2 linked regions of the Caenorhabditis elegans genome follow. The protein of the gene in region 1 interacts with the protein of each later gene in a pairwise test. Each region holds a gene or a part of one and is shown on either strand. Other genes may lie near its edges. The genes, in order: haao-1 and mrt-2.

The links.
Region 2: the proteins of haao-1 (region 1) and mrt-2 interact in a two-hybrid assay, tested with the Caenorhabditis elegans proteins (2 studies listed by BioGRID).

The regions. Positions count from the first base shown.
Region 1 is NC_003283.11:9,498,329-9,514,399, reverse strand, and holds haao-1 (3-hydroxyanthranilate 3,4-dioxygenase), read right to left. Parts: upstream 9,491-16,071; 5' UTR 9,390-9,490; intron 8,796-9,389; 5' UTR 8,712-8,795; coding exon 8,468-8,711; intron 8,205-8,467; coding exon 7,974-8,204; intron 7,932-7,973; coding exon 7,817-7,931; intron 7,766-7,816; coding exon 7,651-7,765; intron 7,603-7,650; coding exon 7,517-7,602; intron 7,472-7,516; coding exon 7,417-7,471; 3' UTR 7,282-7,416; downstream 1-7,281. Other genes in the region: eif-2Bdelta (Translation initiation factor eIF2B subunit delta), read right to left, coding at 1-38, 86-223, 430-483; acs-14 (4-coumarate--CoA ligase), read right to left, coding at 4,061-4,182, 4,229-4,616, 4,692-4,970, 5,019-5,214, 5,448-5,775, 5,829-5,940, 6,057-6,266; swt-5 (Sugar transporter SWEET), read right to left, coding at 9,959-10,075, 10,632-10,751, 10,867-10,929, 10,988-11,080, 11,131-11,254, 12,549-12,626, 12,874-12,998; gsnl-1 (Gelsolin-like protein 1), read right to left, coding at 15,127-15,171, 15,234-15,527, 15,570-15,695, 15,742-15,858, 15,906-15,987, 16,060-16,071. UniProt on the Caenorhabditis elegans protein: Catalyzes the oxidative ring opening of 3-hydroxyanthranilate to 2-amino-3-carboxymuconate semialdehyde, which spontaneously cyclizes to quinolinate.
Region 2 is NC_003281.10:11,739,260-11,756,568, forward strand, and holds mrt-2 (Cell cycle checkpoint protein RAD1 homolog mrt-2), read left to right. Parts: upstream 1-7,506; 5' UTR 7,507-7,703; intron 7,704-7,784; 5' UTR 7,785-7,789; coding exon 7,790-7,888; intron 7,889-7,959; coding exon 7,960-8,115; intron 8,116-8,174; coding exon 8,175-8,315; intron 8,316-8,363; coding exon 8,364-8,444; intron 8,445-9,626; coding exon 9,627-9,716; intron 9,717-9,862; coding exon 9,863-9,982; intron 9,983-10,600; coding exon 10,601-10,717; 3' UTR 10,718-10,916; downstream 10,917-17,309. Other genes in the region: gbf-1 (Golgi-specific brefeldin A-resistance guanine nucleotide exchange factor 1 homolog), read right to left, coding at 12,369-12,470, 12,747-12,854, 13,252-13,337, 13,707-13,821, 14,164-14,331, 15,046-15,210, 15,780-16,277, 17,139-17,309. UniProt on the Caenorhabditis elegans protein: May be a component of the 9-1-1 cell-cycle checkpoint response complex that plays a major role in DNA repair. Promotes DNA double strand break-induced cell cycle arrest and apoptosis, thereby playing a role in genome stability.

The sequences.
Region 1 (16,071 bases):
GCTTTTCTCGCTTTTTTATCTTCAGCAGTCACGTCTTTCTGAAAATTATTAGATTTATTGCTTAAAATTCTTATGAAACACTTACGTGATACTGATTTTTGTCTTCACCTTGAGCTGGCTCTTCTGCAGTTGTTGGCGGAACCACTTGCTGGTTATTTTCACTTTTTACTCCGAGAATCATTCCAAGTAACTTTACTTCGTTGTTCAGCTTTTCGAAAGTTTCCTGAAATATTGATGCAAAGTCTAATGGTTTCTGAGTTAACGACATAGATAAAATGAGATAGATTGTTAGTACTTTGAAATGAAGATTATTGTGAAGTTCGTTCGCGGCGGCAGAAACTTTCAGGACGACGAAACCCAAAAAATTCTCAAGTGCAACAAAAATTGAGTAAAGCGTTGAAAACACAATTTCACAATAAAAAATCAAACCTTTAATTTATCAGCAGGATGCTTTTTGTCAGTATTAATATTTTTATCGCTCATTTAAACGAATATTTACAGACGAAACTACAAGAAAATATTAAAATAAAGAGAATAAAAGCTGGTGTCCGAACGCTTGAAATGAAACACGAGAAACGCGTCATGCACGAAAAGTACGTCAGCAATCTCTGTTGGCGCATTATGTGCGCGTTGATTTATTTTTTTGTTGTATTTTTGGAAATCGACAAATTAATTTAATTTAGAGAAGAAATTTCAATTCTTGTAACAGGAAATCATTAAATATTCTTTAAATGAAAGTATTAAACATTTTGATGCTATGCGTAGTGCCACAATGCAAATTCTAAGCACTAATTCCAACAATAACAACAATGCATGCATTTTATTCAAGAATTCAAAATAACTGAACTAAAAAATACTATTTTGAAATTAAAAAGATTATATACTTGTCAATACTGACTCGTGTCAGGAAATCTTTAAAAAAAAGCCGAATACTCAGTTGCTCATCGTGTAACTTATAGGATTAACGTTATTCTCCTGTCGGTTAATCCATCTTACAATAGGCATGTTCTGTCCACAACAAATAATTTTCTTAACAGTCTCGATGCATCCCTGTCGATAAGATTTGATAATAATAATAGTTGGAAGCGGATCCAAAACCGGATACAAAGCAACAGCATGCCCAATTATAGGATGTTTCAAATTCAATTCGATATTCAGCATTGGAGCTGTGAAAAATACTCCGGCGGGTACATACATGAGAAGTAATGGTATGGCCGTTTGAACGACAAGTGCCTGGAGTAACTGGTTCTGAAGGGCTCTCGAAGTTTCAGATATAATACCAGTGCTCTTCAATTTTTTAGATATACACCTATAGCATTTTATACCAAAAAAGAGCACGCTACAAAATGAAGATCCCTGGAAAATTTAGTTGTTTTTTTCTTAATCCGTATTATTTACCACAATGATCAGTATCACGACGACCCCTGTGAATGATTTTACATCAGGAGCTGTATTTCCAAATTTATCTAAAGGCCAAAAATTTGCACTCATATATGCATAATCGTCGATATCAATACGATAGTTTTCAAGTAGATTAGCCCTGAATAATACTTATTTTAGAACACAGTCAACCATGATTCTCACCTAAAAAATGATCTTCTCTCCGAAGTTTCTCCATAACAGTAAAAGCAAATGAATCCCCATAGAATGCTGCATACAATTGGGAACCAGTATGGGAGAAGCTGGCCAACTCCCGAATGATATTTTCGACGGAAGTTTCTGAAAAAAAGTGCACACTAAACACTTTGAAAATGTGTCAATGCTCACGTGTTAACTGTACCGTAACGGTAAAAAAGTGTCCAGCAAACAGTGCAATTGAGAATCCGAAACAAGAACAATATATCCCTGATTTATTCGTTTATTTTCACAAAATCTACACATTAGAATCTTACATATTAAAAGTTGACCAATTAAGTGACTAAAATCATAATGACCTTTTGAGTTTTGAGCAAGAATACAAACAGGTGAAATTTAGAGTGTCAATTCTAAATCACATAGACATTTAAGTTCAGTAAACTAATTTTTGATAGTCAGAGAACATATATAACAGAGATCTAAAATTGGAAACATTGAAGTTTTAAAAAGTTTTTCATTACTCAATAAATTAAGCCAACCCTGCCTTAATTCAATATTAAAATAAATACGATGAAACATGCATTTAGAAGTTTTTTTTTTCAGAAAACAAAGCTTTGGAAACTTGAGAAAAGAATCATCTCCATAAAGTCTAATATAGGGTCCAAGAAATCTCTTTGTTATATTTCATGACTTCCTTGTTCAGACGTGTAACTTTATTGTTGTACCAAGAGATCATGTGACAGATGACATTTTTCTAGTTTTTCTGAAAGCAGGGAAGTGCCAGAGTGTAAGGGAAAACTACAAATAGCTCGTAGTTTCTTATTAGTGAGTTGGCATATGTTACCTTTTATTTTTCGCATTAAATTTTTCTGAACACCATTACTTCCAGACTACTGACCATCAAAATTCATTCATCAACGAGTAGTGAGTAATATTTATGTATAAAATGAGCTTAGGTGTAGACTGCTTTTATTTTTGTACATGCATAATACGGTACGGTTCACATTATAGCATGCTTCTGCTCGGTTCAGTGAATTTTCAAAGCTAACAGTACCGTCATCAACTCTAAGATCATCAAACCGCTCGGAAGATTCGTTTTAATATTGTAATTTAGGACTACATAAATATCTTACAGAATCAAGTTTTGAAATTACGCCAACCATAACGATTTAATAATCTTTGCAAGAAACTTACTAAAAAATTTAGGAACCAATTGTAAAAACGAAGCATGCGAGAAATTTGATGAGGTTAAACATCAAATGAATGCTCTTGCTGAAGAAACACGTAGCAGCTCACAATATGCGTAAGATCAAATGATGGGATATCATAAGTAAAACAAGCAGAGCATATATAAACATATTCAAAAGATCATAGGTAAGTTAAGATCGTAGGCAATCATTGAATAAGAACACATGGAAAAAATAAGTATAAATACTACTATTTTCTTCCAAACTCTTCAAAATCACATCATCATAAAGGTCATCAGTGGGGATTTTCATAAACACTTTTTCGAAATAATCGAATTTTGTAAATTTTGTAAATTTTAAGTTTTGAGTTTGAAAAATCCAAATATCCTGGTTAAACAATTTACAAAATTTGTACTTTTTTTTCGACTACAAAAAATATCCTAAATGCTTTCGTTTTTAAAATGTCCAGTCAAATTGCCAAATTTTTGAAAAATTTGGACTTTTGAAAAACCCTCAAGAGTGTCTCTAGAATTTTTAGATATAAATAATGTAAAACATTATAAGAATATAACATTTACAGAAATGTTTTTAAAAAATATACTCTTGCCGACTTGATAAATCAAAACGCCACTTTTTGACTGTCATTTAGACTAATATTACATGGTTTACAACGATATATGGCCACGTCAAAATCAAAAGAGTACTTTTAACATTTTTCACAATATCTAAGCTATACCTTTGAGCAATCTGTACATATTCAGCTGTTCACTTACTAGTAAAAGTCATGAATAAAACTATTTGCATAAGGGCAATTTATTTTCACATGAACATATTTTTTTCCATTCCCATGTTCCGATAGTCAACTTCATATTCTCAACCAACTATTCCCATTTTCCTCTTCTGCTATTTCAACCATCAATGATTTTTCCTGTATTTCTTCTAGTTTCCATTATTTTTCCACTCATCTTCTGCCAATGCCGTGATCTTCATCCAAACTGTGATTTGTTCAAAACTCTTGATCTTTGTACATCAGTTAGTTCTCAAAAAGCAATCATGAAATACAATTGTGCGTCTTCTTGTGGATTTTGTGGAAAGCAAGCCGGAAGTTGTGTGGATCGTTTGTCAAACTGTGCCGATTATAAATCTTCAGGACTTTGTGAAACTGATGATAAGCTACGTATTGAATATGCTTGCCCAGTTACTTGTAATGTTTGTTCTACTCCTGTATAATCATTCAATTACTTTGAGAAAAAACCATGAAAAATTAATATCAATAAAGTTAATGTACAAAAAAACATTTAAAGCTTGGCTGAAGAACGATCTCTCAAGAATCGTCTCAAAATCTTTCCAGCTGCGGACTTTGGAATTTCTTCAATAAATTCGACACCACCTTCGAGTTGTTTGTAAGGAGACACTTTTGCTGAAAGTATTATAGTTATACAGAAAATGCACTATTCATAACTTACGTTTAACAAAGTCCTTAACTTCTTGTTCAGTGAGAGTGTTATCAGCTCTTACAACAAATGCTTTAGGTAATTCTCCAGCTTTAGCATCTGGGATTCCAATAACTGCACAATCTCTAATCTTTGGATGAGATAGAAGAAGATCTTCAAGTTCAGCTGGTGGTACTTGAAGCCCTTTGACCTTGATTAGCTCTTTAAGTCGATCAACAATAAACAAATTTCCATCCTCATTGAGATAACCAATGTCTCCAGTGTGAAGCCATCCATCGATGACAGTGCTGGCTGTTGCTTCTGGTCTTCCGAGATACCCAAGCATAATTGTTGGACCACGAACACAAATTTCTCCTCGTTGGTTAACCGGTTGCTCTCTGTCGGTTCCTGGTTCCACAATCTGAATAACTTTTGTATAAATTGAATACTTTTGTTTCCTTTTAAACATTGAAAAACTTGATTCGGAAATTCTCACCTTCATAACCAAATTTGAAGCAAGTTTTCCAACGGATCCATATGGTTGATCATTTCTTAAATCAGGAAGATGACTAGCCATTGAACATTCCGTCATTCCATATCCTTGTTGGATGTATTTCAAATTTGTATACTTCCTCTTCAATTCTTCAATCAAATCCTTTCCAGCTGGAGCTGCTCCCGCCATTATCATTTGCACTGATGATAGATCAAACTTATCGCAAATTGGATGCTTGGCCAAGAAAACCATAATTGGTGGAACTAGGCAAAGACAGCGGACCTAAAGAATTAAATTAAAAATGTTATTTATGAACTTTTGATTCTATACTTTGTAGTTTTGAACGGCAGTCAAAAAATTATTCGGCTCAAAATGGCTCATGACAATTCCAGTCATTCCCTTGAGAAGACAGTGATTAAGAAGACCAAATCCATAGACATGATAGAATGGAAGAAACAAGAGAGCTTTCTCATTGTAGCAGTCCCAATTTGGATCAAGAACATCCAAAATGTGTGATTTATCAATTCTGAAAGTTGTGTCGTATATGAACCTAATTATATTTTCGTTTTTTTTCAATTACTTTTCAAAAAATGTACATAACGTTATACTGATTCTTCTGTATTGATCTATGAAATTGTTTTCTTGGCCCTTATCTTTTTTTGCGTCATAGGAAGGTTAAAGTGTAACCATTTTACTGTTAACTTTGTACTTTCACACCTATTCTGTCTCATCATCATCATCTTTAAATTTCAAACTTACGCAAGATACATGGAGATCATGGATGTAAAATTGTAGTGTGATAGCATAACACCCTTTGGTGGTCCAGTGGTACCACTCGAGTATGGAAGAACGAGTAAATCATTGTGAACATCAATTGGAACTTGTGGTAGAGCAGTGACTGGAGTTGAAACCACTTCATTCCAAGATACAACTCCTGCTGGAAGAGAAGATCCAACTGGTTTTGGGATGACAATGATCTTTTGGATGTTTGGCGATTGCTTCACAGCAAGAAGAACTTTTGGAAGAAAATCTTCGTAAGTAAAAACAACCTTTGCGCGAGAATCAACAAATTGACGTTGAAGCTCATCTGAAAACAGAAATTGCGGGTTGGTGAAAGTAACTTTCATCAATTTAACTTACAGTCAGTGAAAAGTGCACTAGCTCCAGATACAGCTCCACCGTTGATGGCACATCCAATGAAAAATGAAGTATAGTGCCAGACGTTTGGAAGAACAACAGCAGCAACATCTTTCTAAAAGATATCAAAAATTTAAGGCATTGTCTTGAACAAATTGAAAGATTTTTGAAATACTTCCTTTCTCTTGTTGAATTATAAAATTCCCAAATTTTTAACATAATGCCACATACCTTGAACCCAATGCTATGAAGATACATAGCGACAGCAAAAGCATCCTTACGAAGTTGTTCAAAAGTAATGAAATGTTTTGGATTATCTCCGCTCACAAATGCAATTTTATTCTTTCCATCGGCAATTGTTTTATCAATTGCATCAAGGAGCATCTCATGGTACGGACGCTCGGAAATCTTCACTGGTGGATATGTAGAGTCGTGTGGCATGGCTGAAGTTTGAAAAATAAATGAATTTAGCAATAACAATCAAAATATAAGAACTGGGCAAGAGGACAGCATGGGTAGCCTACAGTGTGGCCGAAGGTCAATTTAGAAAAAGATAGAGACTGATAAAGACGACAGTTGATAATAGTAAATAGGAAAACTACAGTGCTTAGACGTTATAATGTGGTCCATTTATTGTAGTCTTTGTTTTTTGGCAATTTATAACATTGATTCAACTGTTGAGGAAAAACCGTTAGAAAATTAAAAAAAAAACCACATGAGCGCGGGAAATACTTATCATTTCAGTTTCCGATGCTCATAATCCTAGACAATTTCAGTTAATACTCAATGAAGACAACGAAAGAAAAAGAATAAATGTACACAAAAAGGGCATATTAATGATAAGGGTTGCAAAACGAAAAATGGGCTATGAACAATAAAATAAAAGATCTGTAATCGTAATCAGATGTTTTTAAAGATCTGAAACTTGGATTGTACGTCATTGATCATATTAAAAAGATGCTCAAAACAAGGAAGTACTGGCCAAATTTCAACAATCAAAGTTCTCGTGACGATTTGACAGTAAAAAATGAGGTATTGTGAACATTTTCTAAATTATAGTTTTTTTCCAACCGAGAAGTTATTTTAAGTTATTATTTTCAATCTTCCCCATCAAATTTAAAAACAACCCCTTTGAAAATTACGGCTAAAAGGCATTTATTATTTTTCTGCTAAAAAATTTTCGGAATGAGTTAACGTTTTTTTTTCTAATGAAATAGAAATCATACTAAAAATAGTTATGTAAACTAACTACAAAACAAAAATTGGATTCTTTGTATTTTTAACCAATTTTACAGTTTTTACAGTGACATAATTTCCTGAAACGAACAACGAGGTCTGAAAGTACAAATTTTCTGAAGCTTTGAAGAACATGATGGTTTTGCTGAACCGACAGCGTGTGTTACACGAGACATTTGACATCGATGATAATGAAACGGAATTGATGTTATCAGTTGGCCACGATTGCATGTCATTCATTTTGTTATAAATCAAAATTGAAATTACATTTTGGAATAAAGATAGAAATATTGAAAAAAGCATTCATTCAATCAGCCTATATGGAAATTGACTTTTACAAAATTGAAAAAAAAAATTATGCTGGCATTCTGATGGTGATAGCAAATCCTCCTTTGACATTAAGAAGACACCTAAAACAAAATTATTTCAAAGAACCTATAATTCCGTATTCTTACTTTGTGTTCGGTTTTATCCTAACCATGGTCTCCGATTTCATTGCATAAGTGAACCCGCTCTCTTCTACGACCGCAAATGTGTTTTCCTAAATGATACATGAATTTTTTTTGGGATTTTTCTGTTTTTGCCATACCTGCAACCAAATTAGCAACTCTACAGTTCCACTTTCCAAATCATAAGATCCCTCTCCTAGCAACATAACTTCAGTTTTGTACTCAGGTGCTCCATAAATTCTCACTGGTCCGTTTCTGAAAACTTCTCAAATTAACTATCCGAAACAAAACCAACTAATTTCTTACTTCACTTCACTGATATGATCATAGATAAATTCTTTTCTATTAATAGGTACGGGTAAATCAGTCCATCTTGCTTCGTATGGAGCATTGCATGCAAATGTTCCTTTTCCTGGTTTACCTGAAACAAAAAATCGGTGAGCTCACACAACTACAAACCAACCAGTTTTGAATTCATTCGATCCATAAAATTCTTTGATTAATGGAGGTAAATCCTTGACAACATCAGTCAAATAGAACCATCTTTCAAAGAGTGTGATATTGGAAGAACCAACAAGAAATCGAACACAATCAAATTCAGTATTCTTTCGTTCACGTTCAACGACAAGACCAATAGAGTTGGAAAATCTTTGAGGTGAATGTTCTACTCTTGCTGGCAACATGAACATTTCCCCTGAAAAATAGAGAGCTCAATTTTGAGTTTTGATTCAGATTATCTAACATTTGTGAAAAAAATAATTCCAAAAAATTTTTGACAACACAGATTTAGTTTCCGTTTATAAATTGTGAAAAATTCTCAATTTTCAGTCTAAATTTTTTGTTCATGGAATTTTAATTTAAAAAGCTAGTTAAAAAGTTATCTAAGAAACCATGTGAGTTTGTGTTATTAATTAATTAATTTACAAATTCAAAAATAAATTTTGTGATGAATCCTACCTTGCTTGATTACTAGATCACGGACTTGACCCTTTTCAATCACTTTCAGTACCATATCCCCTTTTCTCTGGAAGAAAAACTCTTCTCCTTCTTCCAAATGAAAATCTTTTCTTTGATTTGGTCCTCCAACGTAGAAAACTTTCAACTGATCCGAGAACATACACTTGTTACAAACAGGTGGTACAAAATCCTCTTGATTATCTTGAATCCATTGTGGAATCTCAATTGCAGTAACTCCGCTCATTGTTATCACAGGTGGTTCTGCCAGTTTGAGTTGAGGCTTCTGTTGCTCTTCGGTAGAAACGGAAGTCGTACAGACTACTTGCTCCTGATGCGAAATGAATAATTTAGTGGAGGTGAAGCAACTCATCGATTGACAAGGGAATTAGCTCAAGACGAATTGGTAGAGAACTGAGAGATCGGGTTGAAATTGAAAAAAGACTGGAATATATGAATGGCAAGTAAAAGTGACATTTTGACCTCTATAATTATCACAAGAAACGAGAAACGGACAATAAATCGTCGAGAAATACCAATACAAGGCGTTCTTGGGAACGCTTTGAAGTTCAAAGGAACAAAGCATTCGTACCCACCTATTACAAAGTTATGCATGAGAACACATTTTGTAAGTAGTCAAGTTGCCAAAAATTGATTTTAAGCCATAAAAATAATCCTCAGATGCCATAAAGAGAATATGAAAATTTACATAATTTTGAGAACGGCAGTGAGTGTGTTCAGGAATTGATACGATTATGAGCTAAGTACAGTAATCCCCAGATGAAAATTTCGAATTCAATAGAATGTTCAGAGAGTCTCTAAAAGGTTTGGATGTAATAAAAGAGATTAAGAATAGATAATATAATAAACGAATGACCTTCTTTCATATACACCAATTAATAATATAACCTGCCATTCTTCTTACCTTCAGTTTATATTTCTCATATAAATATTGCAGTTTATTGGGTTTTTTGGAACATAAGTTGACACATTCCATCTCCGAAACTTCTCTTTTTCTAACCTAAATTATAAAGCTAAAGTCATAGACGATCGAAGAATTTGTCAATTCGATTACAGTAACATAGACTAAATCACCCACAAAAAACCGAAATTTTTCAAAAAATTGTATGTGGTTGAGACAAAGCGGTGTTAATGTCCGATTAACGCGACGAAATGATAAACGTGCAATGTCACATCTTCTTAATTTCGCCCATCTTCTTCTTCTTATTTCCGTTTTTTGTGTCTTTTTTACATTTTTCTTATTCTCGTATCTAAATCTCCGTGATTTGCTTATTCTTCGCTGATTCAAGTGTCGCTTTTCAATTCTTGATTAATGATAAATGTTTGACCGTCTTAAGGAACTGGTACCCGTTTATTTCGAAAAATTGAGAATTGGGAGTGGGAGGAGGAGAGAGAAGCAACATTAAATTGGTGTTGGAGAGAAAATTGATAGAAAACCTGAGATGCTTTGACCAAAACACGAAGCATTCTGGGTTACATGACTGTTGGAATTGGTGACGATTTCAAATTTTTCTTCTTTTTTTCCGTTGGATACACGAAGAACATCGAGAGAAGTGAACCATCCATACAGAAGAAGATCACGTTGGCTAACTGAAAAGTTGTAAAATTGAATTTAGGATTATCTTAACACATTTATTGGTGCAAAAAATTGTCCACATACTTGAAGTTAGTGTTTTACATCTAAAAGCAACGAATTTTCAAGAATGAAGCGTGGCCTAGAAACTGAGAAAACTCGGTCACTTTCAAAAAGTTGAATTTACACGTGGTGTCAGGCTGTCCCATGTCGGTTTGATCAACGTAGATCTACGAGAATTGCGGGAAATTAGACGCTGACTTCTCTACTGATTTAGCATGGTTAAGAGCGTGCTGACGTCACATTTTTTTGGGCAAAAAATTTCCCGCATTTTTTGTAGATCAAACCGTAATGGGTCAGCCTGGTGCCACGTTATTAAGAACTATCTCAAGAAATCTTCTCCGAAAAACCAATAGAAAAACTATTTTAAGTACATTACTCTCAATCTTCAGAGTGTTCAGAAAGAACCTGTGAAAATTAAAGATAAACCGCCGACCGAGTTTTAGATCTTTCTAGGCCACGTCGAAAATGTGACCCTTTGATTTGATAACAGTTAAAAAATTCCGAACAAACCAGCATGTAAAAATCATCAATACCAATACTATAAACGATCGCGTGGAGCTCCATTACCCACGTGAAGACCACTGGAGCCAGGGGTACAAAATCTATACATTTCGATGTTACTGCTTTGTACTGCAAAATGAAATTTGGAGGTATGGGGAATTGAACCCCAGACTTCTCGCATGCGAAGCGAGCGCTCTACCCCTGAGCTATACCCCCGACGGCTAAACGGGTAACTAGTACTTACTATTAGATACGGACAGACCAGAGACCCAGCAATTTGAGCGCCAGATGCGATGCGGCCAGTGAACTGAAAGAGACATAGAGAAATGAGAGTGTATATAAGAAAAAGGGACGCAGACACTCACTTCTTTCCCGTCTTCATCATTCATATTACCAATGTACAAGAAGAGTAAAGACAGAGCAGCTGCAATTCCAGTCATTAGACGAATTAACTTTCGCTGAAATTAAAAACAAATATTTAAAAAGAACAAGATCCAAATATAAATACTCTTTTGGTACGGTAGAAAATGAGTGCAATCACGAAGAATAGTTGCATTGAAACTGCATATGTCTGCAAAAGGATAAGCTTTGTGTCCCGAAGAAATATTGAATACCGAAGCCATAGTGCAGACCTGAAACTTTTGGAATTCGTTGTACAGTTTTATTATAGCAGCAATTACAGAACCATTACAGTAATCCAGTTTATTTTGTGAACTGAATACTGCAATATCGGAGAGTCGGAATAAAAAGAGAGGCAGAAAAAATTGTGCCCTGGCTTTGAAACGGTGATCCGACTATGCCATATTGCAGTATTCATGGAGCAAATGCTCTCTCGATACAGTACTTCATATTTAAGAGAAACACAATATGATATATTTGGGACGTGATTGGCCTATATAGGATCTTGATAGATGTCGACTGCGAATTCAAAAAAAGTTTCCCAAATGTTCGTTATTTAATGCCCAAGCTACAAGCTACGAAATTGGCAGAGTGACAATTATTCTATTGAAAAGTGTAGGTTTGAAACGTTATAGTTCTGTTGGAACAAGGCTTAAAGAGTGTAATGAATGATATAAGAAAACATGAGAGCTGAAGATGGAGATGGATCGACAATTTCCAAATAAGCTTGAGAAAGTTAATGAAGAAATAAAGTAACGTTTCACTTCAAAATTGTTTTTTATTAGATGCAATAAATGGAAGCTAGATGGCAAAAGATGGTATCTACCAAAACCGTATTTCTTTACGTAAATGCAAATCTGATAGAGGTGAAGGGAATTTTTCATATTGTTTACGCTGCCAAACTACTCATGATCTTCTAAGAAAATTCATGAAGGACATCTCATATTTCAAAGAAAAACTGATCTTGATTGCGGTGAAGGTGGTAAAGTAAAATGGTGAGAATTAGACAAGTTACTAGTACAACTACAACTTAAGTTGAACTTTGTACAACTATGAGCATTTCTTTGTTGTTTTTTATTTATATCCTATGAACACAACTCAAAAACGTGTGCAGTCGTACCACTTTTTTAGATTTTGTCAAGTTCGAAGTACTGGAATATCACAAAAAATAAACAACGTACAAAGTAAAAAGTCGGAAAACTAAAAAGTGTATTTAAGTACACACATTTTGCCTTATTTAAGTAACCAAAAACATATATTTTGATACATTCGTGGTGTCAGAAGTGTATTAAAATACATTTCGAAAAATTACTTGAATACCAAAAAACTAAGTGAGCACTGATTGGTTTCATATTCTGGTAAAAATAAATAAAATCAGACTGGGAGACTAGCACGAGTTGGAAAACTGTTTTTTTCTGTAGAGTTAGATTTCACATTCTTGTCCAACTTTTTTGTTTTTTTTTTCTTTAGAATATACTTAATTTTCCTTTAAATAATAATAAATAAATGTTTAGGGCAAACTCTTACCCAATAACTGCACAAATGTATGGAATGGGAGTATCACTGTCACTGCTTTGCCTTCGTACCCATTTATGAACAGCTTGACTGAAATTTAAATACTTTTAACTATTTTCTTTTAAATTTACCAGTTTTGTTAAGATAAAATTATATTTTGAATGTAAAATAGATATTGTGGACTTTTCGAAACACATTTGTTATTGATATTCGACGTTTTTCTTTTGTTCCCAGCTAATTTTAACCACATTTAATCTGCCTCCCACGGAAGTGAATAAAGTTTATAGGACAGTTTCGACAATCTGCCAAGATTATATCTAGAAAAAAAGTTACTTACACTGGACTAGTAATTAAAGCAACTGCATGAAGAGCTGTAGAGGTTAGAAATAATGACCAGACAAGATTTGATGTATACATGGCAAAGAGCCGAGAGGCAGAGACCGTACCCAAGTCGATCTCCATTCTAAAATAATTTTAGTTAAATATTTCAAATAATTGGAAAGGGAATAATCAATAATTGAATTGAAACATGAGAAAAAGAAACATAATGAAATGCATGGAAAAAGGCTATGTACTTCTGCAATCGAAGGCTTATTCTTTTCTTTTTGACGCCCCATATCTCGGCTTTGCATCTGAATACTTAGCCGCCAGTCAAATGGGAAGAAGACGGACTGTTAGATGTTGGCTAGAAAGGGTTAGAGAATGAGAGAAGGATGAGGAAAAAGAAGGTGAACCGGACATATAGGAGAATAAGAGGTGGGACCCAAATGAAAAAATGAGATAAAATTCATGTGCTTAATGGAGACTATAAAGATTGCTGACGTACTTTATTACACCATACAGGAAGGACATTTTGAATGAAGTTGAAGGTTAATTAAAGATTCGAGAGTAGATTAGCAGCTTCAAATGTTTATTAGACAATTATCTCGACGTTGCGATGGTTTGGATAAGAGGTGAAGGTAGTCAAGAATCTCATTCACTTTCCGGTTTTTTCAAACTTTCAAACTTAAAAGTGATCGCCAATAAGTTGCACTGTTCTCTCCTTAATTGAATATCAATTGATTGAGCAGTAGAACTCCTTAATTAACTAAAACTGCAATGAAAATATTAGTTTTTATTTTAAAGTAATGCTGGCGAACCGGACTAAACCGGACGTCCGGTTTCCGGGTTCTGAAGAATCAGGTGCCTGGTTTTGGGGTGCTACAAAATTTTTAAAATAATTTTTTAGACAGTTCCTATGATATCTGTCTAGTTACAATAATTGCACACTATTATGTATTCAAAATTAGAAAAAAACTGGAACGTGAAATGAAAACTCGGAACATGGATTCAGAAAAACCAGACATCCGGTTTGTCAGCCCTATTTTGAAGATTTCAGTCTTAAAAAATAATTATAAAAAAACGCAGAAATAATTCGATTTCTATAACTTCGTAATAACTTCAATATTCCAAAGGCACCTAAGATTGGCATTAAAGTTTAAAACTTTCGGTTAACGGCGGTCCAACTCCGGCGCCGATCTAGAACTACCGATTATATACTCTTCTAAGGAATCTCTGCAATCACTTTTTAAGCTTCAAAGATCATAGATCTCTTATGAAAACATCAGATTTAAAAGCGGACTGTTTACTTTCTACGTTCCCTGTCTTCAAACAACAGGTCTCTGATCTTCCTCACAATGGTTATACTAGGAAAGTTATTCGTTTTGGATAACGTTCAAAGTGTAGTGTAAACGAGTTCCTGAAGTTTTGAAGATTAGAAAGTTCAAATAATTCAAAGTTTTTCTCGCCAAAAATGTTTAACTTATTTGTAATTTACTTTCGCTAATTTTTCAATTTTTATTTATTTGAAATAATATTAGAATCAGAACAATTCTTTTTCCCAAGAGTTAGTGAAGGAGAGGATTGTCTGAAAGGCTGAATCACGGTATAGGACGATAAAAATAAAATTAAAAAAGTTAAATCAAGAAAACACAATGACATATTTGCATGAAATTGAGAATAATTCTTCTATAGGGAACAATGCGTTCAGAGATTTTTCACGTTCTCCCCCTCAGCCTTGTATTGCAAATGCCCGACACTTTTCCGATTTTCATATTGTTCCGTCTCGGGAAAATATTCACGCTTCGCACGTTTCGATTTCTCTGTATATAGCTTCCTTCTTAATTCTTTCAGCAGTTTATTTTTCTTCGTCCAACATATGTTTGTGTAAATGTTCACAAGACATATCAGATTCAGATTGAAATCAGTGTAGCCATGGAGACCCAGCAGTGTGTTCTGAACAGTTCTTTCACAGGATTTCAAGGTCGATGATGTAGAAAAGGAAGAGTGGAAGCTCTGAATGAAAACGATACATAAAAATGACACGTTTTCACTTTTTCTCAGAAGAAAACGACGAAATACGATGGTTGTGGGGCAGACCGAGGAGCTGATAAAGATCTATTAGCTACGATCTTCTGATGTACCCCTTCACTTATTTTGTAAAAAGTTATGATCAGGCAGTGTTTATTATTTCAATGAGTCATTTTAAATTACATTAGAAATGTAGAAACATTATAAGATACAATGAAAAATTAAAATTAAAAAAGTTTAATTAGTGGAAGAGAAGGCGACGCATGTTCTGCACGGATCGAACTTCCTGAAATACAATATGTTAGCTCATGATATTTTTTGTTTTCATAAGAGTATTTAATTACTTACATTCTTGAACAAATTATCGTCCCAGGATGGGAAGAATTTCTTGAAAGTTGGTGGTTCTTTTCCTTGGAAGATCGTGTCAATAGCTGTTTTCTTGTGACGTGGCAACTTATCTTTTTCCAAGTACAACTTTGCAGTGTTTAATGCTTCTTTCTTCTCATTTGCATTAGCATTTGCTCCAACCCAAACGTAGATGGAATTCAAAGCATCCAAGATCATGACATCATCTCCATCAAGATCTTCTTGAGTGAAGTTTGCAATTTCCTCAACATGAAGAAGACCGCTTTCATCGGAAACCTGAAACTTCAATCTGAAAATTGCTCATTGCATCAAACCAACTTGGAAAAGGAGTGGAGTGAATGTGTTCTTCTTTTTCTCATCAACCCAATCACGGAACCATTGGGTGAATTGAGTAGATTCAGCTGATTCGAGAACTCTAGTAACTTGTGTCCAGCGGGGAAGATGCTGAAATGTGAAAGGAATTATTTTCGAAATAAAATAATTATCATACATGCTGTTTCAAATAGTTCTGCCCCCAAATAAGAGCCTTCGATCTTTCTTCAAGAGTACATTCATGTCCAATCCAGACGAAGATTCCACCATTAATTGCATCAAGAATGAAGGCATCCTGAATTAAAATAAAATTGTTTCAATTAAACTGATTCGGCAACTCACCTTGGGATCAAGTTGCTCTTTTCGAATATTTTCGCCTTGAGAAACCATGCTAACTTTAGCAGCACCAGATGCGTCGGAAACTCTGAAATAAATCAATTTTCAATAGGTTAAATAAATTCCCTTAAATTCCAGTCAAATTTCAAAATTGTCTTACTTCCAAAGTGTA
Region 2 (17,309 bases), on another chromosome or scaffold:
TTCTAGGCCTTGGCCGAGTCCCCGACAAATTTCAGCGGCCATTTATCTTGCTTTGTTTTCCGCCTGTTTTCTTTTGTTTTTCACCAATTTTTTCCGTTTTTTCTTATTAAAACTATTAAATAAATATTTTTTGCAGATGCTAAAACAATTTCCAAGTAAAAAAATTATGTATTCAGTGGGCAAGTAGCGGTGAAAGTGGTCAATGTAATATGATGGATTACGGGAATACCAAACCTAAACTTTTTTCCAAACATGATACATATGCTGCTTAAATGCTGAAACTACTTGATTTTCATAACGAGACCGCTGAAAAAGTTTTGGGGTTTTCAAAATTCAACTTTTTTGGTGAAAAAGTAGAGATTTTCGCACAAAATGTTGAATTTTAAAAATCTCAAAACTTTTTCAGCGGTCTCGTTATGAAAATCAGGTAGTTTCAGCATCTAAGCAGCATATTTATCATGTTTGGAAAAAAGTTTAGGTTTTGTATTCCCGTAATCCATCATATAACATTGACCACTTTCACCGCTACTTGCCGACTGAATACATAATTTTCTCATCTGGAAATTATATTAGCATTAGCAAAAAATATTTATTTATCAGTTTTAATAAGAAAAAACGCGAAAAATCGGTGAAAAACACATGAAAACAAAGCAAGTACAAAATGTCGTTAAATGCGGTGTATTGTGTGCAAACACCGATTTTTCGCATTTTTTCTCGGCCCCCGTTTGAAAAAAGTTGCAGTGAATTTTTGGAAGTTTCAGAATTTCAATTTTAATCGGCAAAATTGTACGTCATCTATGAATGTTCCTACATCTATTTTGAAAAGTAAGCAAATTCTATGAAAAATATCTAGAAAAAACGGGAAAAAAATTTCAAAAAAGCACAGTTTTTAGTATTTTCTTTTTATAAAAATCCCTCTAAAAACTTCCGGCAAATTGATGTTCGGAAAACGGCGAATCGGCAAATTGTAGGAAATGAAAATTTTCGGCAAATCGGCAAACCGGCAATTGCCGTTTTGCCGAATTGTCTACAAAAAATTTTGTCGGAGACATTTTGGGTTTTCTGAGTTGTTTAGAATTTAGGAAAAATACTTTTTTCAATTTTCACACTTTATAGTATTTTAAATTTTGAACGGGAGAATTTTTTTCAGAATTTTTCGCACAAAAATTTGAATTTTTAGATAACTTTTCAGAGATTTTTTGGTTGAAAAAAAATTTTTTTTTCAAAGTTTTAGATATTTCTGCTGATTTTTTAAACTTAATTTTCCAAATTTTGGTAAATTTAAATATCATTTTTAAAAAACTGTTTTGTAATTAACTAAGTTTGCCGAAACTTTGGAACTAATCAATTTTTTTTCAGTTTTTAAGCATGGTGAACAAAATTTAAACTATAAACCGGAACTTACAGATATTTTAAAAAGAAAAATTATAATTTTTTGAGAATCCAAAAACTGTCCGTTTGAAAAAAATTTTGGAAAATTAGATAATTTTTTTAATATTTTCCAAAATATTTTTTTGTTAAAACTTCCAGTTTTCAGTCAATTTAAACAATTTTAAATTGAATACGATTGACTAAAGTTTTTTGAAATATATATTTAAAAACTTACAATTAGAATTCGGAAATTTATTCGTTTCATGAATGTATCTAGCCTCTAAACACAAAAAAAGCAACACTTTTTTTTGAAATTCTAAATTCTCAAGTATTGGTCGAAAATGTGACCACTACCTCCTATTGTGAAGGACAAATCTTCTGTGAGAGAGAGATAGAGAGTGCTCAGAGATACAGAGAACAAATCGAACAGTTCCCCTCCGATCGAACAAACAAAATAAAAAGGAGGTACACGAATCTTGTCTGTTTATTTTATTTTTTGTATATATATTGCCACGTCATCACCCGGTCCTCCAATAAAAGTTTCGAGGTGACTGTCATGGTTGAATAGGTTTTATGGAAATTGGAGATGACGTGGTTTTTTTTTGACAAAAATTGGGTAGAAAATTGTTTGAAAAAGATTCAGAAAATTATTTTAAAAATCTGGAAATTCAAAAAATTTCGGAAAAAAATTAATATTTCTTGAAAATTAGAAATTTGGAAGTATTTAAGTTATACAATTTTTAAGGCAAATTTCCAAATTTTTCCAGACAAAATGTAGAAATTACTGAAAAAAATTCCACTTTTTTTCTGAAAAAATGTCTAAACAGTTAAAAAAAAGCCAATTCCAGGAATTTTTTCAAAGTCCAGAAAAATAAGGTAAATTCAATTTAAAAAATGTTTGAAAAAACTGAAATTTCTATAAAACTTCCAACAAAAAATATTGGGAAATTGCCACGTGGTGTCAGGCTGTCCCATAACGGTTTGATCTACAAAAAATGCGGGAATTTTTCGCCCAAAAAATGTGACGTCAGCACGGTCTTAACCATGCAAAATCAGTTGAGAACTCTGCCGCATTTTTGTAGATCAACGTAGATCAAACCGAAATGGGACACTCTGACACCACGTGAAATTGTTAAAAATTCAAACAAAAAAAAATTACTTGTTCGATAAGCGTTTCTGAATTTTCTGAAAATTATAGAAATTTAAATTTTTTTCTGAGAAATCTGATCTGAGATATTTCAAAAAGCTTTGAAATTAACAAAAAAAAAGTCTAAAAAAGCACCAAAAACAATATCATTGGTATTTTTTGAGCCCGTAAAGCACAATGTTTTTGCCAGAAAACGTGGGCGGAGCCTACGTTCTCTTGTTGGAATTGCTGTTTAAGAATGCATTGCACGATGTGCCGGTGTTTGGACATTTGGATTTTTTTTCCCAATTTTTCGCCCAATTTACACGGCTCTAAAATAGATTTCTTCTGTCTCTCAGAGTAGAAACGAACACAAATTTTTCGAATGAATTTTAGATTATGAAGTACTTGTTTCAAAGTGAATTTTCAAAAAATCTGAAATTCTAGCTAAAAATTCATCTAAAATCCGTTTAAAAAACGAATAAAAAAAAAAGAGAACAAGAGATCAGCCGAAAAAAATGTAAAGAAAGAGAAAAAAAGGAAAATAAATTGAGGAATTTCAAAAGAAAAAAATGATTCAGAAGAACAACGAGAGGGAAAAGTGAAAGGACTCCCGCCTCTCCCCAGCCGGGGGGCTATTATGAGAGGAAAACTTGTGGCAGGAAACTGATGAGAGGTCGTTTTTGTTTGGAAAGAAAAATGAGTGATTTTGAGTCGGAAATGGGAGAATTCTTTGGTTTTTACTCCTATTTGGAGAGTTATTTGCTATATTTTAATAGAAATTTATTTTTAAAAAATTCAATATTTGCGCGTAAAAGACTGTAAAATTACGGTTTGATCTACAACGAATGCGGGAATTTTTGCCCAAAAAAATGTGACGTCAGCACGTTCCTAACCATACAAAATCAGTTGAGAACTCTGCCGCATTTTTTGTAGATCTACGTGGATCAAACATAAATGAGACACTCTGACACCACGTGTGCACACCGGAGTACACTAGATTTGACGCGCAAAATAGAATAAATAAAATCCGGGTTTTCCTGAGGCTCGAAGCAATAACAAAAGCGTTCGAAAAACGCTTTTTTTTAGCATTTTCTATTTTCAAAACCCAAAGTTTCCTCGAGTTTTTCCAATTTTATTCCCATTTTTCTAGTACTATTCTTTCTTTGCCTCTTGAAAAGAAGACATATTCATTTCGCAAGAATTTCGATGTCAAGGGTAGGATGTTGAAGGTCGTATTGGGTGAATCATTGAGGTATAGGATGAGATTGTAAACATTTTTAAATAGATTGTAGAAATTTTTAAGTTTTTTGAATCTTGTGGGGGCTAGTAAAATCTGTTTTTAATAAATTTTAACGAACATTTTTTATTTTCTTCATGAAAACTATCACAGGTACACAAAATTCTGAGAATGCGTATTGCACAACATATTTGACGCGCAAAATATCTTGTAGCGAAATCTACAGTAATTCTTTAAATGACTACTGTTGCGCTTGTGTCAATTTACGGTCTCGATTTTCGAAATTGATTAAAATCATTCATTTATCTATACACATAGTGTCAGGCTGTCCCATTACGGTTTGATCTACAAAAAATGCGGGAATTTTTTGCAGAAAAAAATGTGACGTCAGCACGTTCTTAACCATGCGAAATCAGTCGAGAACTTTGCCCGCATTTTTTGTAGATCTACGTAGATCAAACCGAAATGGGACACTCTGACTTGTTTTATGCTAGAATCCTGCAAAATCATGTGAAAATTTAGCTATTTTTAAAGAAAAATAGCCTAAAATGACCGATTTTCCGCAAAAAAAGGCTCAAGAACATTTTTAAGTACAGTAACCTTAAAGGCGCATACCCAAAATCGCTACTTCGGCACGTAAATCGACTGCAGTATCCATTTAAAGGATTACTGCAGTTTTCGCTACGAGACATTTTGCGCGTCAAGTATGTTGTGCAATACGCATTCTCAGAATTTCAAATTTTCTTGAATAAAAACCAAAAAAATCAATACAACAAAACCCAAAATCTGGTGTGTTGCTGGTAGTATTCTCTGAAGAGTAAACTGGCGGGATCTACTTTCACTAAAAGCTTTTTTCGTCCGAAATCCCAAATCCAATTACATTTACTCCTCATCCCCGCCAGCGCCACGTCACATCGCCTTAACTAAATTTTAATTTTAATTTGGAAATTTTCAAGTCTGATATCCGTGCCCCGGGTGCAAGAAAAGTACTTTTGTAGATTAATTCTGGCCACCCGGACCGGTCAAATTCAATGACGAGACTTGAGAGAGAGTGTGTGGGATTTGAGAGACGCAGAGAATAAGAACGAATGGGGGATAATTGTCCACCTCGAGAATTATTGTGTACGCGCGGAAAACTGGATATGTTTCTTTTTCAGGGGTTTTTTAAGAAGGATATTTGATGGGACAATGGAGAAAAATCGGGAAAAAGGGATTTACAACTGGAAAATTCAAATTTTGCGCGTCAAATCTGGTGCATTGAATTTTTCGCGCTCCATTGACAATCTCCTGCCGGAAAGGACATTTTCCACGTGGAGTACACGGAACGTGGCCTAGAAAACTTTTCTCGGGTTTTCACGGGGTTCTGGCCTTCCTCATTGCATTTTTTGTACTCCACGCGGACAAATGCATTTAGTTTTACAACTAAAATCGAGCCGCGACGCGACACGCAACGCGCCGTAAATCTATCCCAGATATGGCCGAGCCAAAATGGCCTAGTTCGGCAAACTCTTCCATTTCAATTTATGAGGGAAGCCAGAACTCCGTGTCTGCAGAACCTAAAGATTTTTAACTCAAAATTGTAGAAATTAGGCTAAAATTGCACTTCAAGCTGAAATTTAAAAAAGGAATGCACTAGATTTGACGCACAAACGTTAGAAAATTTGAATTTCTCGGGTAGTGCAAAGAATTGTTAAGTTGAAAAAAATGCATCAGATTTGACGCGCAAATCTTGAAATATTTGCTGACATTGAGTTTTCACAGTTTTTTTTTAAATAAATTAAAGTTTTGATTACTTTTGATTAAATTTTTCGAATATTTTGTCTGAAAGTTTCACGTGATGTCAGAGTGTCTCATTTCGGCTTGATCTACGTAGATCTACGAAAATGCGGGAGTTGAGACGCAGAGTTTTCAACTGATTTCGCATGGTTAAGAACGTGCTGACGTCACATTTTGTTGGGCAAAAAATGCCCGCGTTTTTGTAGATCAAACCGTAATGGGACAGCCTGGCACCACGTGAAATTCCAGAAAAAATGTCTGAACCTACTGTAGTTCACAATTTAAAGGCGCATACCAAAAAATTATAGCGGGAATTAAATTTTTATTTAATAATTTTTTCAGTTACAGAGCAATTAAAAAATTCAATTTCATCAAAATTTTATAGACCAATTTTCTCGCTTTATAGCTGAGCTCCGCGAGCCAAAATAGGAAGGGGAGCACGAAAAAAAAACAGAAAAATGAGCTCGACAGAGCCCATAGCCTCAAGCGCTAACGAACCAAAAAATGCACACACACACAGGAGGCGGAGTCGTGGAAATTTCGAAAAAAAAAACAAGATTTTCTTCTCTCTCGGCTCAAATTTGAATGCGGAGCAAGAATATTACGGGAACAAAAAATTCTGAGAATGCGTACTGCACAACATATTTGACGCGCAAAATATCTCGTTGCGAAAAGCAAACTACAGTGATTCTTTAAATGACATTTGTAGTGTCGATTTACGGGATCTCGATTTTCGAAATGAATTCATTTATCATTGATCGAGCCCGTAAATCGACACACGCACTACAGTAGTAATTTAAAGGGTTACTGTAGTTTTGTTTTCGCTACGAGATATTTTGTGCGTCAAATATGTTGCCCAATACGCATTCTCAGGATTTTTTGTTAGCGTAATAAAATAACAGAAAACACAGAAAAAGGCATGAAATTTAATTTGAAATACCGCGCTGAGTTTTCTAGGCCACGTGTCGTGTACTCCCCGTGGACAAGCGGTTTTTGCCTTATTTTTCTGAAGTACAAATTCTCAAGTACAAGTAAAAAAGTACAAATTTTACCAAATTTGAGGAAAAGAACTAGCATGACAAAAATAGAATTAGAAAAATTCTAGAGAAAAACTACGGATTTCTGGCTTCCCTCATAAAATGAAATGGAAGAGTTTGCCGAACTAGGCCATTTTGGCTCAGCCATATCTGGAGTAGATTTACGGCGCGTTCCGTGTCGCGGCTCGATTTTAGTTGTAAAACTAAATGAATTTGTCCGTGTGGAGTACACGACTTTACCACGCGTTGTCCGGCAGGCGATTGTCAATGGAGCGCGAAAAATTCAATGCACCAGATTTGACGCGCAAAATTTGAATTTTCAAGTTGTAAATCCCTTTTTTCTTCCCATTGTCCCATCAAATATCCTTCTTCAAAAAAACCCCTGCGTCTCTCAGGCCATATCTGCGGTAGATTTACGGCGCGTTGCGTGTCGCGTCGCGGCTCGATTTTAGTTGTCTGGCGGGCGATTATCAATGAAGCGCGAATAAATCAATGAGGAAGGCCAGAACCCCGTGAAGATCCAAGAAAAGTTTTCTAGGCCACGTTCCGTGTACTCCACGTGGAAAATGTCCTTTCCGGCAGGAGATTGTCAATGGAGCGCGAAAAATTCAATGCACCAGATTTGACCACGCGTCGTGTACTCCACGTGGAAAATGTGGACACTAGGGATCTACTAAATGCCTGGAAAATCGTAAAAATCTCGAAACTTCCTAAAGAAAAAAAAAGCAAATACACAAAAACGCATTGATGTATGAACAAATTGCCCTCCCCGTCTCCCACCAAAAACTCCCAAAAATTGCTCTTTTTTCATGTTTATATGGGGGACCGCGGGATTTCATAATAGCTCCGTGGTCCGCTCAGCTCATCCGGAGCCAAAAAGAGCACACACACACACGCACACATAAAAGTTGTAAACTAGTTTCGAGCAAAAATGATACGACGGATGAGTGTGTCACGCAATCAGTGAGCTTCTCTCGCTTTCGAAAGAAAAATCTTTTTCGCAAAAAGAAAAAGTACTTTACACTGGCCACAGTGTAAAATAAGGGTGAAAAGATCGAAAATCGGAGGTTTCAAATTTGAATTTCCGCGCAAATGAGAGGGACGAGGTGCGATGGCCTACAAAACTCCGCAGGTGTACTCCTCTCGGAAAACGGTGCGAGAATTAATTTTTTAATTTATATTTAATTTTCAGCGATTTTTCTCAGTTTTCCGGTTAAAATTTAAATTTTTTCAGGAAAAATGATGGAATTAGAAACGGGTCAATGCACAATTATGGAATTGAAAAAAGAAAATGTGAAGGAGCTCGCGCAGGTCTTCAAAACCGTCGCTTTTAAGGATGTTAGTGTTGGAAAATATCGATATTAATTTCATTTTTTTTGAGAAAAAATCTAAATTTTTCAATTTTCCAGACAGGAACGTGGCACGCTTCCGAGGCGGGCATGAAGATCACAGTCGACGATGGATCCTATCAGCTGGCCAGCGTTTTTATCAATCCGGCGTTCTTCTCGAGTTTTAAAGTTCGCGAGGAGATAGTTTCGATGAAAATCTCGATTAAATCGATTTCTGTGAGCCTTTAAAAGCCCATAAAAGCCCAAAAAAGTGGCAAAAAACAAAAAAATTCCAGGAATTCCTGAGCATTTCGGAAAACTCGTCGAGTTCTGTAAAAGTCTCGTATCCGGGAATGTTTCAGCCTGTGAAAATGCTTGTTGAAGACGCAGACGGATGGGTGGCACGTGGCAATTTTACAACAACGCTGGCAGATCAAGTTCGCCGGGTTTTCGAAATTCCTAGATTTTTTTTTGTCTATTTTTAGGAGCTCGACTTTGAATTCGATGACGCTGGTGTGCTGGCGACCTATCTGCTTAAAACTCAAGTTCTCAAGGAGATTATCAAGGTTTTATCATTGAAACCTTTAAACATTCGAAAAAAATTTATTAAACTCCAGACATTTTCCAAAAAAAATTTTTTTTTTTGGATTTTCGAAAAAAATGTTTTTTTTTTGAAATTAAATAAAAAACTTTTTTTTTTACTTTTTTAGTGAAAAAACAAAAAAAATCGGTTTCCCTTCAGAAAAATCGGTGTTTTTCGGTTTTTTTCATATTTTAAAACATTTTCTGAATTTTTTTTTTGACTTTTTGGAAAAAAATTTTTTTTTGGATTTTTTCAAAATGAAATAAAAAACTACTCGAATGTCGCAAAAACAAAAAAATTTCTTTTTGTTCTGACAGATTAACATTTTTTGGTTTTTTTCGACTCCAAAAAAAAATTTCTGAAAAAATTAGCTTTTTTGAAAAAAAAACCATTTTTTTTTAAATTTTTTAGTCGAAAAACGAAAAAAAAAATCGGTTTCCCTTCAGAAAATTATTGTTTTTGGGTTTTTTCCCACATTTTAAAACATTTTCTGAAAAAAAACTTTTTTTCGACTTTTTTGAAAAAAAATTTTTCGGTTTTTCCGATTTTCTAATTTTTCAACAAAAAAAGACGAAAAAAACCAGAAAATTCCGAATTTTAGAGCCAAAAACGAACATTTTCCGTTTTTCAATTTTGAAAAAAAAAACGTTTTATTTTTATTTTTCGATACTTTTTTGTCGAAAAACGAAAAAAAATGTTTTCCGTTCAGAAAAATCGGTGTTTTTTGGTCTGTTTTTCATATTTTAAAACATTTTCTGAAAAAAATTTTTTTTTCGAATTTTTCATTACTTTTCAAAAAAAAAATCCGTTTTTGATTGAAAAAACCTTGATATTTTTCCGATTTTCTAATTTTTCAAAATTAAAAAAAACCAAAAAAAAAATCCGAAAATTCCGACTTTTTGAGCTAAAAACGAAAATTTTCCGTTTTCAATTTTGGAAAAAAAATTTTACTTGAAAATTCGATTTTCGCTTAAAAAGTAGTTTTTATTGTTTCAATTTTTCGAAAATAAAAAAAAATCGATTAAATTGCAGAATTTCCAACCCAAACCCAAAAAAATCGACGTCCAATACTTATGATTTGACGCGCAAATTCTAAAATTCAAATAAAAATTCTTATTTTTGCATTAAAAAAATACGAATTTTTAATTTTTTTTCTCTATTTCAGGACTTCGATGACACAAGCCGAACGGTGAGAATTCAATTCACCAAGAATTCACTGTGTTTCACGACTTTCGGTGATGTTGGCGAGACTACAGTAGGATTTTTCAAATTGAAAATTAAATAAATTTTAGGAAATTAAAAAGAAAAAAATTTTAATTTTTTAACTCAAAAAAAAAAAAAAAAAATTGTTTTGAAAAAATATTTTTTAAAAAATTAAAACCAAATTTTTTATACTTTCAGGTATCAATACCGTCTCGAAGCCTTCAAATGGAAAGTGTAAAGTGCCTTGAAGAAGTTGAATTTAGCTATCTTCTGTCGCTTATTCAACGAATGACTACCGCCTTTATACTGGCTACAAAGGTAGTTTCTGGAAAGAAATTTAGCCTATCTGCTAGATTTTTCCTAGTTAAAGTTATCATGGTTCCAGGAAAAATTCATTAAAAATATGAAAAAATTGGGGGAAAAAAAAAATTTTTTTCGAAATTTTTTGAAAAAAATCTGAAAAAATTTGTGAAAATTATTTTCACTATAATTTTTAATTTAAAAAATTGAGCCGATTTTTTTAGAAAAATAAATTTATTTGTGAAAAAATTAATTTTCCTTTCGAAAAATATTTCGATTTTTGAAAATTTTTTTAAATTTGAAAAAAAAAATTTTCATTTTTTTTTCAAAAACAGAAAAAAATTTCGAAAAAAATAAATAAAATGTCTAAAGCATTTTTAACGATTTTTCCAATTTTGCAACAAAAAATATCAACATTTTTCCGTTTTTTTCCCCGAAAAAAAACCCCAAAAACTCCAAAATTGGCCAAAAAAATCGAAAAATAAATTAAAACGTTATGCTCCAAATCAAATTTTAGTTTCAAAAATCGAGAAAAAATTAGAAAAAATGTTTTTCTTCGAAATTTTTTTTTCAATTTTCTAAAAAAAAATGTCTCGAATTTTTTGATGCAAACTTTACAATTTAAGTTTTTTCCAGCTCATCCTCCGTGTCGACGAGCGTGGCGTCCTCTCCTGTCAATTTTCAATCGATCACGGCGAGGGAAACGCAAGCTACATTGAATTTCTGACGGTGCCCGCTGATGAAGAAGAATAAAATATTATATACATTTTTAATTTTTTTTTAATGTTCGATCCCCGAGTTTTGCAACAAGTGTACCCTCATCTCCCGGGTATAAAAACCCGAAAAACTGCACCGAAACGCACGCAAAAAAAATTAATATTTTCTTCTTTTTCGTGCTTCTTGCAATTCTCGCTGTTGATTTAAATTTTCAAATAAATATTGATTTTTATTACGAATATTGCATTTTGAAATGAGAAAAATTTTTAAAAATTGGGTTTTTTTTCAGTGAGTGTCTCGTCGAATAAAATGCTCGGTACGTAGTACACCGTCACGTCAAAATACACAGAATCGTGGATTTTTTTCAAAAAAAAAACAAGGATTTCTGGCTTCCCTCATAAATTGAAATGGAAGAGTTTTTGCCGAACTAAGCCATTTTGGCTCAGCCATATCTGGGGTAGATTTACGGCGCGTTGCGTGTCGCGTCGCGGCTCGATAGTAAAACTAAATGTATTTATCCGTGTGGAGTACACGACACTTTCCCATGCGTTGCCCGTCGGGCGATTGTCAATGGAGCGCAAAAAATGCAATGAGGAAGGCCAGAACCCCCTGAAAAATCGATGTGTTTTTAGGATTTCTTCAAATTCTAATTAATTTTTAGAGTTTTTTGCCGGCAATATTATGTGGAAAATGAATGCAAAACTTCTTGTAGCCCTAAAAATCCCCAAGTTTGTGTATTTTTAAAGAAAATTAAAGTCTCCTGCCGAAATTTTCAATAAATATTGATTTTTATTACGAATATTGGATTTTGCAGTGAGAAAATGGGGTTTTTTTTTTGCAAAAAGACTCCGTAATTGTTGGAAAAAAGACATATTACAGGAACACAAATTTCTGAGAATTGCGTACTACACAACATATTTGACGCGCAAAATATCTCGTAGCGAAAAGAAAACCACAGTAATTATTTAAATGATTACTGTAGGGCTTGTGCAGATTCACGGGCTCGTTATTCGGAATTAATTAAAATTATTTAGGGATCGATTAAGCAAAAAATTCCTTCGAAAATCAAGCTAGTAAATCGACGCTACAGTAGTCATTTAAAGAATTACTGTAGTTTTCGCTACGAGATATTTCGCGCGTAAAATATGTTGTGCAATACGCATTCTCAAAATTTTGTGTACCCGTAATACCTCAAATCGTTCATTTTCGCCTAATTTCTGCTTTTCTCAAAAAATTTGAATTTTCCGCTAATAGATTTCTTAGAAACTTTGAATTTTCCACCAGAATCCCGCTCTAAAATGTGGAAAAATCTTTTAAAAAACGTGGTTTTCATTACTCAAAAAAAAAAAATTTGAATCGAAAGAAAAATGAAATAAATAATAATAATAATAATAAAACTTTCTCGGGGTGGGGGTGGAGGGACTTGCACGCATAATAAATACAAGAAGCAGTAAATGGGGAAGGGGAGGAAATTTCAGGAAAAAAAAATTAAAAAAGGGGAACCATAGGACACACAAATCATTCTAACCCAAGTTATTCGACTATTTCTGTGCTGAAATTTCAAAATTTTCAGATTTTTTCGGGGGGATTTACTTATTTAATTTAAAAAAATGGATGGAGGGGGAATCGCGGAGAACATTCAATTATCACAATGCAAAAAAAAATTAGATTTTAATTTTTTTTTAAATTAAGGCTTCTCCTGTTGGCTCGGATTGTAGGGAATCGGGGTGAAATACGGAGAATCTGCTGACGTTGTTGTTGGAGCAGATGGAGCAAGAGCAGGAGCATTCTGAAAAAAAAAAATTGTTGAAAATTTTGTGTCAATTAGGCCAATTAGCTAATTTTTTAAATAAAATTGTGCAGTTTTGGGCCAAAAAATAAAATAAAGTAAATTTTGGCAAAAAAAATTGATGTTTCTTTGGAATTTCTCTCAATTTTTGGCTAAAAGTGTGAAATTTTTTGGCTTTTTGCCAATTTTTAGCTCAAAACTTCAATTTTTTCTTAAAATTTATCAATTTCGAGCTAAAAATCTCGCTTTTTCCAGTATTTTTCCACGAATTCTCACATTTTGTGGCGGAGTGTACACATGGGTGAATGCACTGTTCACTGATGGTGCAACAATCGGATGATAAGCTGGATGAGCCGGCAGTGGAAGAGGATTCGCCACCGAATACTGCAAAAAATTGGGGTTTTTGGTGGAATTTTTGGGGGTTTTTTGCAGGTGAAAATTGAAGATTTTGTCGAAAATTCAATTTTTCACTAGAATTTTTCAAAAAAAAAAAAAATTCAAAAAAAATTGGATTTTTGGCTTAAACTTTGCGAATTTTCACTGGAAATTTTGATTTTTTCGAGTAAAAAATGCGAAATACATTTTCGAGAGAGAATTAGAGCCAAAACGTTTTTTTTTTCAAATTTTTGCTGAAAAATCAGATTTTCTAGTTAAAATATACGTTTTGCAATCTAAAATTTGTAATTTTTTGTGATAAAAACCAAGTTTTCACAGAAAAATGTGATTTTTGTCTGGTTTTTTCAGGGAAAATTCCAATTTTTCCAAAAATCCAGGACTATACCTGTCCGTGAACACTGGGACTCGTTGGATTTACTGGGTGCTGCTGTTGTTGCTGTTGCTGCTGTTGATAGTGCTGATATTGATTGGCTGAAAAAAAAGGAAATTTAGCCCAAAATTCGAAAAATACTGAAAATTTTGATGCAAAAAACGTATAAAAATTATTTTATACCATTTTTCTTCAAGAAAAATTAGAAAAAATCAAGGAAATAATTCAAAAAACCATTTTTTTCTTTAAAAATTCAAAAACTTCACAATTTTATCACTAAAAAAATTTCCAGGGCCAGTTTTCGCTCAATTTTTCGATTTTTTGCCTAAAAAAATCCCAATTTTATACCATTTCTTTTTTAATTTGGAAAATGGAAAAAAAAATTGTTCCAAAAAATTCAAAAAACCGTTCCAGTGCCAGTTTTTGCTCGATTTTTCGACTTTTTCCCTAAAAAAATCCCAATTTTCTACCATAATGCTCTGCATATTGCTGTTGTTGGTGTGCATATTGTTGCTGATAGTATGCCGCGTGTTCTGGTGAATATGCATATTGTTGCTGCTGTTGCTGCTGTTGTTGGGGATAGTTCTGGAAATTTTTGGAAATTAAAAAAAATCGAAAAATTTCAAATTTCGTGAATAATTTTAGTGGGAAAAACATTTTTTTTTCGATACTTTTTTTCGATTTTGCCAAAAAAATTCAATTTATTTGAAATTTTAAAACATTTCCTTAAATGTTTTAACGTAAAAAACTGCATTTTTCTTGAAAAATTTGTCAATTTTCAGCTAAAAATTCGAATTTTTCAAAAATGGGTCAACTTTAGGCTAAAAATTCGATTTTTTTCAATTTTTGGCTAGAATTATCAGTTTTTTTTTCGAAACATTGCTCAATTTTGAGCTAAAAATTCGATTTTTTTTTTTCAATTTTTACCTGATTATACTGCTGATATTGCTGTGCAGCCGCTGCCTGCTGCTGTCGATATTGCTCATATTGTTGGTGCTCCGAATGTTGGTGTTGCGGGGGACTTGAAGCTGGTGGCTCAGTTTGTGGTGGTGAGCCAATTGGTGATGTTGGTCCCGAGTGAACAATTACTTCAGTCTGCAAAAAAAAAAATTTCGAAAAAAATTTTTTTTTTTGAGAGAAATTTGTGGAATTCAAAAATTTTTGAAGATTTTCGGATTGTTACAGGAAAAAAAAAATCGAATTTTTGAAAATTTCTTGGCATTGAGACCAAATATCTTTAAAAAATTCGAATTCTCCGCCGAAAATTTTTTCTCAGAAAATTTGAATTTCCCTGCAATTTTTCAGCGGGAAATTTAAATTTTGAGAAAAAAAACAATATTTTTTTCAGAAAATTTGAAGCTCCCACCAAATTTTTTTAGTTGAATTTTCCGTTAAAACAGTATGTGAAATATTTCAAATTTCCCGCCAATTTTTTTTGAGGTAAAATATTTTTTTAAAGAAGTGCAAGTATATAACTGAATTTAGTGAAAATCTAATTTTTTCAAAATTTTCAAATTTTCCGTGAAAAAACTATGGCGGGAAATTTAAATTTTGAGAAAAAACAATTTTTTTTTCAAAAAAATTGAATCTCCCAATGTTTTTTTAAATTTGAATTTTCTGTTAAAACTTTATTTGAAAAATTGCAAATTTTCCGCCAAAATATTATTCTGGCGAAAAATTCATTTTTGAGCATTTTCAATTAAAACAAACGTCAGTTCTCTGATTTTTCATGGAATTTTTAATTTTTTTCAGGTCTTCAAACAAAATATCTCAATTTTTGAGGCACTACTGGGCCCCCAAACTACTGACCAATGGATGTTGTATTGGAATCGGAGCACTAATTCCAGCATCTTCTGGACATGTAACAAGTGGTCCAACAACAGATGAAGCTGTCGAAATTGAAGATTGTGCAGTAGCGATCGAAGGATCAGATGTTGAAGTGGCGGCTGTTGAGTTGGATGATGGTGGTGGTGGCTGCAATTTTTCTAGTTGAAAAAAAACTTTTCCTAGTTAAAAATTGGCCGTTTCCAGCTTAATTTATAATTTTATTTTAAAATTTTCGTTCCGGTAATTTTTTGTTTAATTTTGTGATGTCTTGGGTATAAAAAAAGGCGAAAACATCAGTGTTAATTTCTCAATTTTTGAAAAAATCTCGATTTGGATTAATCATGTTTTTTTTCGAATGTACGTCCTTTTTTTTTTAAAGAGCTCAATTTTTTCTCTGCTTTAAACACCAATCAAAAATCGAAAAATTTCGATTTTTCGGTATTCTGGATCGGAAAATTTTTTATTTTTCGAAAAATAAGTAATTCCAGTTTTTTAAAATATTTTTAAAAAAATTTAATGCTCAAAATTTCAGGGAATTTCTCTATTTCTATGTTTATTTTTAATTTTTTTCGTTGAAATATTCGAAATTTCGAAGAATACATATATTTCCGGAGATTTTGACCGGGAATTTTGACCGAGAGAAAAAGAAATCGAAAATTGACCGAAAATCATCTTTTTTTTTTCTGATTTTTCAGTAAAAAAAAATTCTCGAGCACCTCAAGCCCAGAAGCATGCTCCTTCTTCGGCTCCGACGCTTCCGACTGCTGCTGCCCTGGCCGTGGTGGATTCGGAATCGTATCCTTAATCAATTCGGGCATAAATTTGTTGAGCCTCTCCACAGTCACATCATAAAGCCGAGGTGTTGCAGCGAAAATTCCCGTACTATCCATAACGAGAAGCATATTTTTCAGCGATTCCGGCACTGCTTCATTCAAATTTCCACAGCTATCAACTCGAAGATATTGCTCCATATAGTCGAGCAGAAGCATCCAAAGATCCGGGAATGAATCAAGAGCCGACAGGGCTGAGAGATGATTTAAAAGAGTTTTCGCGACGATTTGAAGTGTCCGAACACGTGTATCCTCCATTCCAATCGGATCCATTTGAGAGAATGGCTCCAGAAGCTTAGTGAGCAATGGGAAGAGCACTTCTCCAAAGCATGATTGCCATTCTGCGGCTCCAAGAGTTGCCATATTTGCCGGCAGGAAGGCGCGCTGGAAAATTAGGGCTTTTTAGAGAGGAAATTGAGCTGAAAATCTGGAAAATTTCAGATTTTTTTTTCGAAAAAAAAAATTAATTTAGGGCTTTTTAGAAGGGAAATTTAGCTGAAAATCTGGAAAATTTCAGATTTTTTCTTGAAAAAAAAATTAATTTAGGGCTTTTTAGAGGGGAAATTGAGCTAAAAATCTGGAAACTTTCAGATTTTTTTTTGGAAAAAAAAAATTAATTTAGTGCTTTTTAGAAGGGAAATTGAGCTAAAAATCTGGAAAATTTCAGATTTTTTTGAATTTTTTCGTTGAAAAAATTGCTTTTTTCTTCAATTTTCAACTTTAGAAGCGAAAAATTACGATTTTTGTTAAATGGGAAAAGGTATGCGCCTTTAAAGAGTACTGTAGTTTTTCGATAAAAACGCATGTTTTTTATCACACAGACACAAGCTAATATACTCTGTTTGGCACTTGCTGGGCGAAATTTCGTGATTTCGGGTGTCGACACGACAAATTTGTGTTGTTTTCTGTTTAATGCAAAAAGATATGCGCCTGCGCCTTTAAAGGGGGTACTGTAGTTTCAAACGTTTGAAAAACCACAGTACCCTGTTTAAAGGCGCAAATCTTTTTGCATTTAACAACAAAAAAAAAAACACAAATTTGTCGTGTCGAGACCCGAAATCACGAAATTTTTATCGAAAAACTATGAAAACTCCAAAAAGTGAAATTAGAATTTTTTTTTCAACAAAAAAAAACTGAAAACCACAATTTATCGTGTTTTGCAGAAGAAAAAAAAAGAATTTTTCACTTCAAATTTTGAAAATTTCAAATAATTTGCATATTTTTTTCCGACAAAAAAAATCGTGCCTGCAAATGAGTCAACGCCGCCGCACGGACACCTCGTCGGCAATCACAGCTGAGCCGTCCAATTGCTTGGAGCAACGGGCGCCAGATATCTGTCCATATGAACGCGACAGTCGCCAGATCCGATGCAGCTGGAGATGCTCCTTGAGCCCACTTTGCAAAGATTGCCGGAGT